Regions from separate parts of the Mus musculus genome. Here region 2 is reported to be linked to region 1. The links are microRNA targets in miRTarBase. Many come from high-throughput screens and were not tested one by one. Region 1 holds a microRNA gene; the other region holds the end of a gene's coding sequence.
What was found. The annotated mature microRNA mmu-miR-433-3p reads AUCAUGAUGGGCUCCUCGGUGU and lies in region 1 at 2,191-2,212, opposite strand. An mRNA with a match to its seed (bases 2 to 7 or 8) in the 3' UTR can be bound and repressed. Matches are read on the target gene's strand: a 7mer-m8 pairs with bases 2 to 8, a 7mer-A1 pairs with bases 2 to 7 and ends in A, and an 8mer does both.

Region 1 (5,216 bases):
TCGTGCTCTGCCAGATGACAATGCAGAACTACCCAAGTATGCTATACAATGATGAGCTGCGGGTGAAATTCGTCATCCGCCACCTGACTGACCTAGCCTTGGAATGGGCCAACGACCTCGTAGAGCAGAACAGCCCAGTGATAAACAACTTCTCAGCCTTCCTGGAGGCCATGTCAGAAAAGTTTGAGTATCGGCAGACCCTGCGTGTGGCGGAAGACGCCATGTTCAACATCAGGCAGGGGAACCGCTGTGCGGCCGATTACATCAATGAGTTCCGGGGTCTGATACCCACCTTAGGCTGGCCAGATGAAGTCCTGCAGGCCCACCTGTGCCAGGGGCTCAACGAAGAGATCAGGCACTATCTGTTCCGGATCCCTCAGCCGAATTCCCTAGACAACCTGATTGTACTTGTCCTGCAACTTGAAGAAAAGCTGGCAGAGAGAAGAGCATTACTCAGGCTGCCACCTGAGTCGCGCCCAAGAAGCGTAGCCTGGATGGATGCTCCCGCCCCAGAGAAGTGGAGGGTAAGCAGCTGGCTGCCCAATGAGTTCCACCCAGACATTGATCGCGATCACCTCTTCTTACTGCTCTTGGTGAGAGTGGACCCCTACCACAGTGTCGCAGTGCGGGCCCTGGTGGACTCAGGAGCAGAAGGGAACTACATGGATGAGAGGTTTGCCCAGGAACACTATGTGGAACTCTATGAGAAGCCTTATCCACAGATAATCCAAGGTGTGGATGGCATCCCAATTGGCAATGAACCCGTCTGGCTGTGCACCGAGCCCCTGGTATGTGTCCACCAGAAGCATTATGAGTACATCGAATTTGACATCTTACCTTCGCCCAACTTCTCCATCGTCTTAGGCATGAAGTGGCTCCGAACCCATGCCCCTGAAGTCGACTGGATGAGAGGCCGGTGTACCTTCCACTCTCCCTACTGTCTGCGGAATTGCTTCACCCCACCTCCACCATGCATCGCACTAGAGACATACAGCATAAGCCTACTGCCCGGATTGCCACACACATACTCAGACCTGGCCGACGTGTTTAACCCGAGGGAGGCAGATGATGAGACTTCCGACCAGCCAAGCTCAGACGGATCCGATGATCTTTCTGAATCAGAGCCCTCTGAGCTTCAGCAGGCTGGAGACAGTGATCAAAGCGGCGTCTTTTACGAGTCTGGGGCCCGAGAGACTTTGGAACCTGTGAGCGCCAGGATGCAAGAGAAAGCCAGGCAGCAAGAGAAAGCCAGGGAGCAAGAGGAATACTGGATACTGTATGACATGCTGACTGACAGACAAGACTACACGCAGATGGTACCAGAGCTATTCGACCAGCTACATGGAGCGGCATGGTTCACAAAACTGGAGCTGCTTGGGATTAAGGAAAGTGAGATGAGGCACACGGTCACACACACGGAAGACACTTGGAGAGCATCGTTCGGTTTCGGCCTTCACCAGATGAGATGCTACCGGCCCTTCACAATGAACTCATACTCTGACGAAGGGAACAACATTGTTCACTTCATCCTAAAAGACATCCTAGGGTTGTTTGTGATTTGCCATGGCAGAGAGGTCCTGGTCTACTCAATGAGCCAGGAGGAACACTCCCAGCATGTCCGCCAAGTCCTGGTCCGCTTTCGGTATCACAACATCTACTGTTCACTGGACAAAACTCAGTTCCATCGCCAGACCGCTGAAATCTTGGGCTTCAACATATCCCCCAAAGGGGTGAAACTGAACAAGAACCTTATGAACCTCATCGTGGGGTGCCCTGTCCCTGGCAGCAGGAGGTGTCTTCAAAGTGTGATTGACCTTGTCTATCCCTATCGCCACTTCGTGGAGAACTTCGCTGTCATCGCAGCACCCCTAGTGAGACAACTGCTGAGTTCAGAGCCCTACTACTGGGGAGAAGAGGAGCAGGAGGCCTTGGAATCCCTGAAGAGGGCTTTCCGCAAGTCGCCCGTTCTCTATCACCCTAAGCCTCAGAACCCATTCTACTTGGAAACAGACATCACTGGGTCATTCCTGTCTGCCTCCCTGGTCCAAACCGACGACGAAACTGGCAAGAAATCTACCTGTGCTTTCTATTCAAGACCCCTCTCTACAATGGAGGTGGAGTACCCTCGAGTGGAGATGAGGATCCTTCCAATCCGGGCTGCCTTCATGGTGTGGTGCCGCTACCTGGAGAACACCGAGGAGCCCATCATGATCCTTCTCAACACAGAGGATCTAGCCTCTCTGAATAATGACAGGCTCACCGTACTTCTCCCCGGGCATTGGGTCTTCTTCTTCTCACACTTCAATTTTGGTGTTATGGAGATGCCAGCTGAAGGTGACACACAAGCACTCTTCCGCAGATGTTGGAACCAGAGAGGCTTCAGAGCAAGGTTTCTGCGCCCACTGCTGCTTATGTCCATTAGGGCAAATCTAAGGTACTTTGACAGATCCTCTGAGACTGAGGATAAAGAGGATGATGAAGAAGAGGAGGAGGAAGATGGTGAAGAAGAAGAAGGGGAGGAGGAGGAAGATGGTGAAGAAGAAGAAGGGGAGGAGGAGGAAGATGGTGAAGAAGAAGAGGAGGAGGAGGAAGATGATGAAGAAGAAGAAGGGGAGGAGGAGGAAGATGGTGAAGAAGAAGAAGGGGAGGAGGAGGAAGATGGTGAAGAAGAAGAAGGGGAGGAGGAGGAAGATGGTGAAGAAGAAGAAGGGGAGGAGGAGGGAGAGGAGGAGGAAGAAGGAGAGGAGGAAGAGGAGGAAGAAGAGGATGAGGAGGAAGAGGAGGAGGAAGAGGAAGAGGAGGAAGAAGAGGAGGAAGAAGAGGAGGAGGAGGAAGAGGAGGAAGAAGAGGAGGAGGAAGATGAGGAAGAAGAGGATGAGGAGGAAGAAGATGAGGAGGTGCCCAGCATGGTGCGGGAGCTACTGGCTGCCATCCCGATGGACCATATCCTCAATGGCTTACTGGCTCACTTCAGTGTGGCCCAGATCCGGGCCGTTGTCCTAAACTTCTTCCGTGGCCTGCTCTACTGGAAGAGTCTCCTGGGTGTGGCAGCTGTCCTGGTGATGTTGAGAGCAAGGCAGCCCCTCTCCCCAGTGCCTGCCCCTAATTTGGAAGTGGCCAGGCCTCAGCACCGGCACACACTCCGACTCATCCTGGACTCGACCCTCATTGCGAGTAGTGGCATGGCCACAGCCATCGCTCAGTTGCTCAGCCAGATGCCCCCTCTAGTGGGTGCCAACACCCTCCCAGCTCGAGAGCTGGCTGAGCTTTTCCTGGGCCCAAGGTGCTGGCATCGGAATGCTCTGCATTCCCAGCCTCCACGGGGGATGCGCTTCACCCCTGGGTTCTGGTTGACCCTGTGTGAGTTCTTTGGGGTCAGAGTCAACCCTGAGGATGACGTCTTTCCTGACCCTTACCAGCACCGGTACTTGGAACTGCACGTCGTTGGGGATGAAGATGTCGTCTTGCGAGAAGCCCTGCAAGACGACCTGCAACGTTACCGTCAGTGTGGCCTGCATGACGGCCTGCAAGACACCTCGCAGGACGCGCAGGACAACGACGTGCAAGAGGACCTGTTTGGCGACCAGGAAGCGGTCACCTTCAGACCACGAAATCTTTTGGACCCAGAGGTCCTAGATTTCCTCAACAACCGGCTACTCTACACCCTGGGCACCGATGGCCGCCTTACTCTGCTTAGCAGAGATCAGGTGGCCCAGGCCCTCACACGATTCCTGGCCATGGCCTCCAGAATGGCGCTGCCTTCCCCAGCCAGGGAACAGGCAAGGCTAGAAGAGCTATCAGACTCAGATGATGAACTTGACTGAAAACACACCAAGTCACTGTCATTTTCCCTTGTGCCTCGGCCAGCTTCGCTCAGATCCAGCACACCCTCTTGCTACTCCTAACCCAAGGGGAACCCACTTGTGAAGGGCCACAACTTCATCAACCAGCAACATCATCTGTGCTAAAGAACTAGCCAACTATCAGCGTCCCAGAACCAGCCAAGACTGTGTAACCCTAACTGTCCTAACTGTCCGGGCCCCAGGCCCACAAAAGGGAGTGAGACCAATGAGGAGAGAGCAGTGATGAGCAACAGTGACCCCGTCACCCCAGGCCAGATGCAGAGCAGATACAGCAGGTGCAGCCAAGCAAGCAGATGCCAGTGACCCCACCACCACCCCCTGAGTGGCAGGCGGCCACCTGTGCATCCTGGGACACTGACCTTGGGTGCTCCACGGACTTCTACCTCTACACCGGTGCTCCGACTCCCCTGGACACGCCCCTACTCCCTCCCAGTCTCCCAAGGTGCTGTGGTTCCATGCTTTCCACAACCCCAGCCCACCCTGCAAGCAAGTCCACCCCCCCCCCCACAACCCACCCACCCACTACCGGTCTGGTCCGGCTCCATTGACACCTCATCTGACCCTGAACTCTGATCTTACCTGGGCAGAACTGCTCCAAGGAGCATTCGACGTACCAGTGTGACTTACCAGATGGACTGATCCACCCTGAAGGTCCCTGAGACTCAGAGGACCCAAGAAAGGGTGGTAGCAACCAAGTGGGGCTCCCTTTTCCCTCCCCAAATGGACATATGGACAGTGCAGGGGACAGAGACCTTCCATAAAGGAGGGAGCCCCCAAGAGACACTGGTGAAGCCCCAGATACCCAGAGTACTGTGCCAAGGAGCCAAGAGTGCTCTGACCAGACCCACTGCTCACTGCCACAGGAAGGAGAGGTCCTTCCATTGCTTTCCCAACTCATACCTGCTTTTGCCCCATGAATAAAGAGAAGAAAAGATTATCTGACTTTGTGGTTTGTTCTAAAAGGGAGAGGGTGGATAGTAGGAGGCAGGACTGGAGAACATGGAGCATGGGGTCAGAAAGGATGGAGTGTGAAGAGAGGGTTGGGATGGGCAAGGGCAAGGGTGGGAGGGGCAGGGATAGGAGGGCTTGACTCTCCAGAAACAGCTCATGAAGACATGGAGCAACAGGCCTCCTGTCTTCTCCTAAAGGGAGGGAAGTCAATTCACTCTCAAAACTTTGGGCTCCTCTGGGAAATGGACCAAGGGTTTCATGGGGCAGAAGGAGGGTACCCAGAATTCCCAGCCCTCATCTGGTCCCAGCCCTCTAGTCACATGAGAAATGAGGAATGGCCAGACTGTGCTCAATGCCCACAGCTGAGGAGGGTCAACAGGCAGGATGTTTGAGCTTGGATCC
Region 2 (5,216 bases), not on the chromosome of region 1:
GAGTCTAGTCTTACCACACTGGGCCTTGTAAGTTTCTCAGGCGCTGCCTGTCTTCCTTCCAGGGACGCCTTTCCTGCCTGTCCCTCTCAGCCGGGCGTGCGCATCAATGAGTGCCTAGGTGCGTACCTTCCCTTTTGACCATCTTTAGAGATCCTTCTAGGTCCTTTTCTCCCTAGTCCTTGAGGCAGAGATAGAAAGGTCATATTGCATGTACTACACACGCACCTCAGTATCAAGATAATATACTGGTATGAATCAGCTGAGTCATACCTGACCATCTTTTCTGGGTAAAGCAAACCATTGGTAGAACCCAGCCCCTCATTCCAACCCCATCAGAAACAAAACACAAAACACTGGGTGAGGTCAGGAAGGGCGGGCAAAAATATTCACACAGTGGTTTGGGACATCAGGTCAATTGGGACCCCTCTTTCCTCTTGGCTCAGCTGGAAAAGCTTGGGACACATTGACTCCAGTGTGTGTGTTTTCCATTTGCTTTCATTTTAAATCCTCTAAACTCAAAGTGGACGGGTTTGTATACTTAAGGGATTTCAGGGATTATTTTGATTTTTGTTTTGTTTTTTGGTTTTTTCGAGACAGGGTTTCTCTGTGTAGCCCTGGCTGTCCTGGAACTCACTCTGTAGACCAGGCTGACCTCGAACTCACAGATCTGTTTGCCTCTGCCTCCCAAGTGCTGGGATTAAAGGTGTGTGCCATGCCCAGCGTTCTCTTTTCTGCAAGCTCTCACACGATATCCCACTCCATTTGCTTGGGGCTAGTCCTTTGTGCCACTCTGTTTCTTGGTGTTCTTGCAAAAAGAAATACTGTTGTGCCACTCTGTGTTTTAAATGTGTGAAATGAGAACTGTGTTTTATACCAAGATCTCAAGACTGATCCAGGTAGCTTCTGCCCCTTCTATTGCCCCCTCCTCGGCATGCTTTTCCCTCCCACATTACCGTCATCAACAGCACAATACGATCCTCAACTGCATGCCCTAACACAGTGCCTCAAAAACACACCTGTCACCTTGGAGTCTTGGAAAATGCAGGCTCAGCAGTCTAAGTTGGAGCTGGAAAATCTTTTTTGTTTTTTCTTTTTAGATGTGGTCTCATGTAATACAGTCTGGCCCCAAACTAGATATGTAGCCAAGGTTGGCCTTGAACTTGTCCTCCTCCTGAGTGCACTTCCCCAGTGCAGGATTACAGGCAAGAGCTTCACTGCCAAGTTTATGTGGTGCTAGGGATAAAACCCAAGGCCGCATGCTGGGCAAACACTCCACTAAAATGAACCACATCCCCAGCCCTCTAGAGTCTTTTTTTTTAATTTAATTTTTTATATGTATGCGTGCTTACATACATCTGCACCACATGAATGCCTGGCAGTCATATGGTGCAGATACATGTAAGCCCCCCATATATATATACATACACATATATACACATATACATACATATGTGTATATATACATATATGCATATGTGTGTGTACACACACACAGATATATAGTCTGTAATTGAAGTTACAGATGGTTGTGAGCGCACATGTAGATTCTGAGGACTGAACCAGGATTCTCTTGTAAGAATAAGTGTTCTTAACTATAGAGTCATTTTGGCAGCCTCACAGAGTTGCTATATATCTGAAAAGCTAAGGGAGGCCTAGACTGCACTGTTTGGAACCATGTGTCAAAGAGCAAGGCCCTCAAGGCCCTCTGTGAGAATTTGAGTTTCTTGGTTGTAGAATATAAGAGCCTCTAATTAGGTAAGGGCAGCCTGTCTGTGGTCCTGTTTCACTGTGTCTCCCCATCCCACAGCGGCAGGTCAAGGGGCAGGAGGTATATTTTGATTCAAGAAAAGGTGAAAAAGCCCTTTGTTGTTCTCACCCGCGGTGCCCCCTGGATATGGTCTTGGTTAACTCCTCCTCCCCTCTTAACTAGAATGGCCCAAGGTCTCTGCAGTGATGTCCCTGGCCAGTGATACATGGTCCAGGCTAGGCATCTTAGTCTCTATTCCCACCACAGACAACTTTGAAGTCCCTGCACTCTAGACATCTAGACTCATTAGGCCTGGGCTTCCTCTCTAACAGGAGCCATAGGATTTTCAGTTAAGTTGTATTTTCTCCAGTCCATGTGGTTTTCTCTTTACTAGCCTCTTAAAGTGCTCTGGGACTCAAACAGCCTGGCCTTGGTGCTGAGTAGTTATCCTGCTCCTAATAAAAACAGTCACTGTGTGTGTGTGTTTGTATGTGTGTGTGTGTGTGTGTGTGTGTGTGTGTGTGTGTGTGTGTGTGTGTATTACGGCCAGATGTCCCAAAGCAAGTGTCTATGTCTTTGTTATATTCAGGTAGAAAATGAAATTCAGAAAAACTTATCAAGGCTGGGAATGTAGCTCACTTGGTAGAGCGCTTGCCTAAGATGCAGGAAACCTTGAGTTTGATCACTGGTACCAAATAAAGTAGGCACGGGAGCACATCGGTGTAACTCTAGCCCTTGGGAGGTAGGGGCAGGAGGGTCAAAAGTCAAGGTCATCCTCAGCTACACAGAGAATTTGGGGACAGTCTGAACTACGTGTGTGTGTGTGTGTGTGTGTGTGTGTGTGTGAGAGAGAGAGAGAGAGAGAGAGAGAGAGAGAGAGAGATTGAGAGAAGCAGATAGCAGATGAGGAATAGATCATTAATGGAGTAACATCCCTATGTCTGGCCTTGACACACAGCCGCACTGCAGGGGGAACTACAAAATGAAGCACTGGTTTGGGGTTTTAGGCACTGAAGCTATCTACCAGTATGAAGATGTCTACCAGGAACACAGAGTTCAAAACTCTGTCAGGCTTTGGCCAAAATGAACCATGGCTCAAGGTGCACGAGTGTTTAGAGGGCTTCAGAAGCAATGATTTTCAGGTTAGATTTAAACCAGATAAAGAGCTGGGAAGCAGCAGGGATTGGGTAGAGGTCAGCAGTGGATGAGGACTGAAGTCTGGGCCCCAGCTGGGGGCAGATCGGCTAACATGTCTGTCACTTGACTTGGTAACTGATACTCACAGCTTTGTTTGGAAGGCTCAGCGCTAGGTAAATGGCCAAACGCCAGGGGAGCCTGGGTGGTCCAAAGCCCTCTGGTGGAAGCAGCCTGCTTAATCAATCCTGCAAATCTCTGCGCTTTCCTTTTTCCATGAGCACAGCATTGCACAAGTTCCCTGGCACCAGGCTCCAGCCTCGAGCATTACACAGATCATACAGTCCAGTGTCTGCCTAGCTTGAGACACACACCTTGCACATCTCACCACACTGCCTATTCCGTGTCAACTGTTTTAGGGCTGGGATTCCATGAGTGACAGAGTTTCTGTAGAAGCCTAGAGAAATTTAATCTCTTAGCTTCTGAATCAAAAGGCCTTTTGAACTTATATGTTTTTAGAGCTCAAAACATCTTAACTGCTGTTTGGCCTTACCAAATACTTTTCATAAAATCAGGCATGGTGGCACAAGTTTTAATTCCAGTACCCTGGACATAGAGACAATAGGATCCGAAATTCAAAGTCACCTCAGCTAAATAGTTCAAAGCCATCCTGGGCTTCATGAGACCCTGTTTCAAAACAACAACAGCAGCAAAGTATTTTGCAAATAGATACTGACTTTTGATCATAACAAACCCATGAAAGCATTGGGGCTCACTTAACACCAAGGTTCAAAAGTAGTGAATCAGCCAAGATGTAGGAGGCTGAAACAGGACTTTGATTTTTTTTGTAACAGACCTGGAGATTCTTAAAAAAAAAATAAGAGTGTGTAGGGTGGAGTGTATGCTTATGCACAAAGCCTTGGGTCCACACACACACACACACACACACACACACACACACACTATCATGATTGGCCTCTTTCCCATTTCTGAGAGGTGAGTGAGGTGAGATCCCTAGCTATCGTCCTGGCAGTGAGACCCATTCCAGAGTGTGTGTTCCTCCTGGAAGTAGAAAGAGAGGATCCGGGACAAATCCAGACAAGTCCAGGGGTATGTAGGTGGAAATTCTCAGGAAGCCTGAAGCTGGTAGGGCTGAGGTGATGTGACTAAAAGATTCTGCCAGGAAGACCAAGTGATGTTACCACATCCATACGGGTGCTCTCAGTGGTTGGTCCAAGCTCTTGCTCCTGGCTAAACTGTCTGTCCTGTTCCTGACACCAATGTGGGTTTAAGGTAGATGCCCAGAAGCCAGACCCCCACTTGTATTTGTGATTGGGGGGGGGGGGGTCTGAGGTCTGTTGAAGTTCCACTGCCCCCCTCCCCACGGGGCTCAGGCCCTAGGCCAGGGCTCAACAGACACAAGCAGTAAGATGGGGTTGCCCTTCTATTGGTCCAAGTCCTGAGCGTAGCCTGGTTGAGTCATGGAGGTGAGCAGGCCCACGAGGCTCAGCAGTGTGGAAAAGAGCAGCAGGAAGGAGGCTGCGAAGAGCAGAGCAGGCAGGGCACTGAGCACAAGCAGCAGGATTGCTGGCAGCAGGTGGCTCCACATCACAGCCACCACGGGCCATAGCGAGCTCAGCAGGTAGGAGCCCGTGGTGAAGAGTGCGTGACATAGCATCAGTGCCAGCAGCAGGTAGAGTGTCCCCTCCAGACCCCACAGCATCCGCTGTAGTGGTTGCCGCCAGCCTGATGTATTCCACCACTGGGTCCAGCTCCGAGGTATGTGGCATACCCACCAGCGCACCCAGTCCTGACGGATGATCCAGGCTGACCAGGGCACTGCCCGCTGGGGCCCCTCGCCAGCCCCGATGATATCCGACTCCACTCGTGGCTGCTGCATCACGGCTGGTGCACCTGTGGACAGGGCCAGGCCAGCTGCAGGGGGCAGCCCTTAAGATGCCCAGGACCTCTGGATAGGTGGGCATGCAGGGGTCAGGGGGATACCAGCATGGGCAGGATTGGACTTTGAACTGGGGCCTAGGACTTACCTTTGGGCAGAGCCACCTAAGTCATGGTGCTTCCTGTTGTGTCTAGGCTGGCCTGGCAGCCAGATCCCAGTCTCTCCCTCGCCTGCCCCACCATCCCCAGAGGAGTGCATTATGACCCGGACTGGGGTGGGGCTCAGCCAAGAGAGGAGCTACTGCATAGTGTGAGAGTCACTTATGTCCTTTACTTAATGGTCCCTCCAGGCTAGCAGGAGAGCCCAGCAAGCCTACCATTCTTCTTCTTGTAGGAAGCCTTCCCCACACCTGTCCCTCCTTGATGGCTGCTTCCA

Region 2: miRTarBase lists Tmem239 as a target of mmu-miR-433-3p. Seed matches in the 3' UTR shown: 7mer-m8 at 3,847-3,853.

Annotation. Positions count from the first base shown.
Region 1 is chr12:109,588,777-109,593,992 of GRCm38, reverse strand. It overlaps Mir433 (microRNA 433), which reads right to left and starts at 2,278; the gene lies at 2,155-2,278. Rtl1 (retrotransposon Gaglike 1) reads left to right here. Exons shown (of 2, transcript NM_184109.2): 2 at 1-4,800. The coding sequence ends at 3,824. It overlaps Mir431 (microRNA 431), which reads right to left and starts at 3,546; the gene lies at 3,456-3,546. 6430411K18Rik (RIKEN cDNA 6430411K18 gen) reads right to left here and starts at 2,456. Exons shown (of 1, transcript NR_002848.3): 1 at 1,142-2,456. It also overlaps Mir127.
Region 2 is chr2:130,406,289-130,411,504 of GRCm38, reverse strand. Tmem239 (transmembrane 239) reads right to left here and starts at 4,983. Exons shown (of 2, transcript NM_025753.3): 1 at 4,930-4,983; 2 at 3,711-4,795. The coding sequence starts at 4,781. The coding sequence ends at 4,326.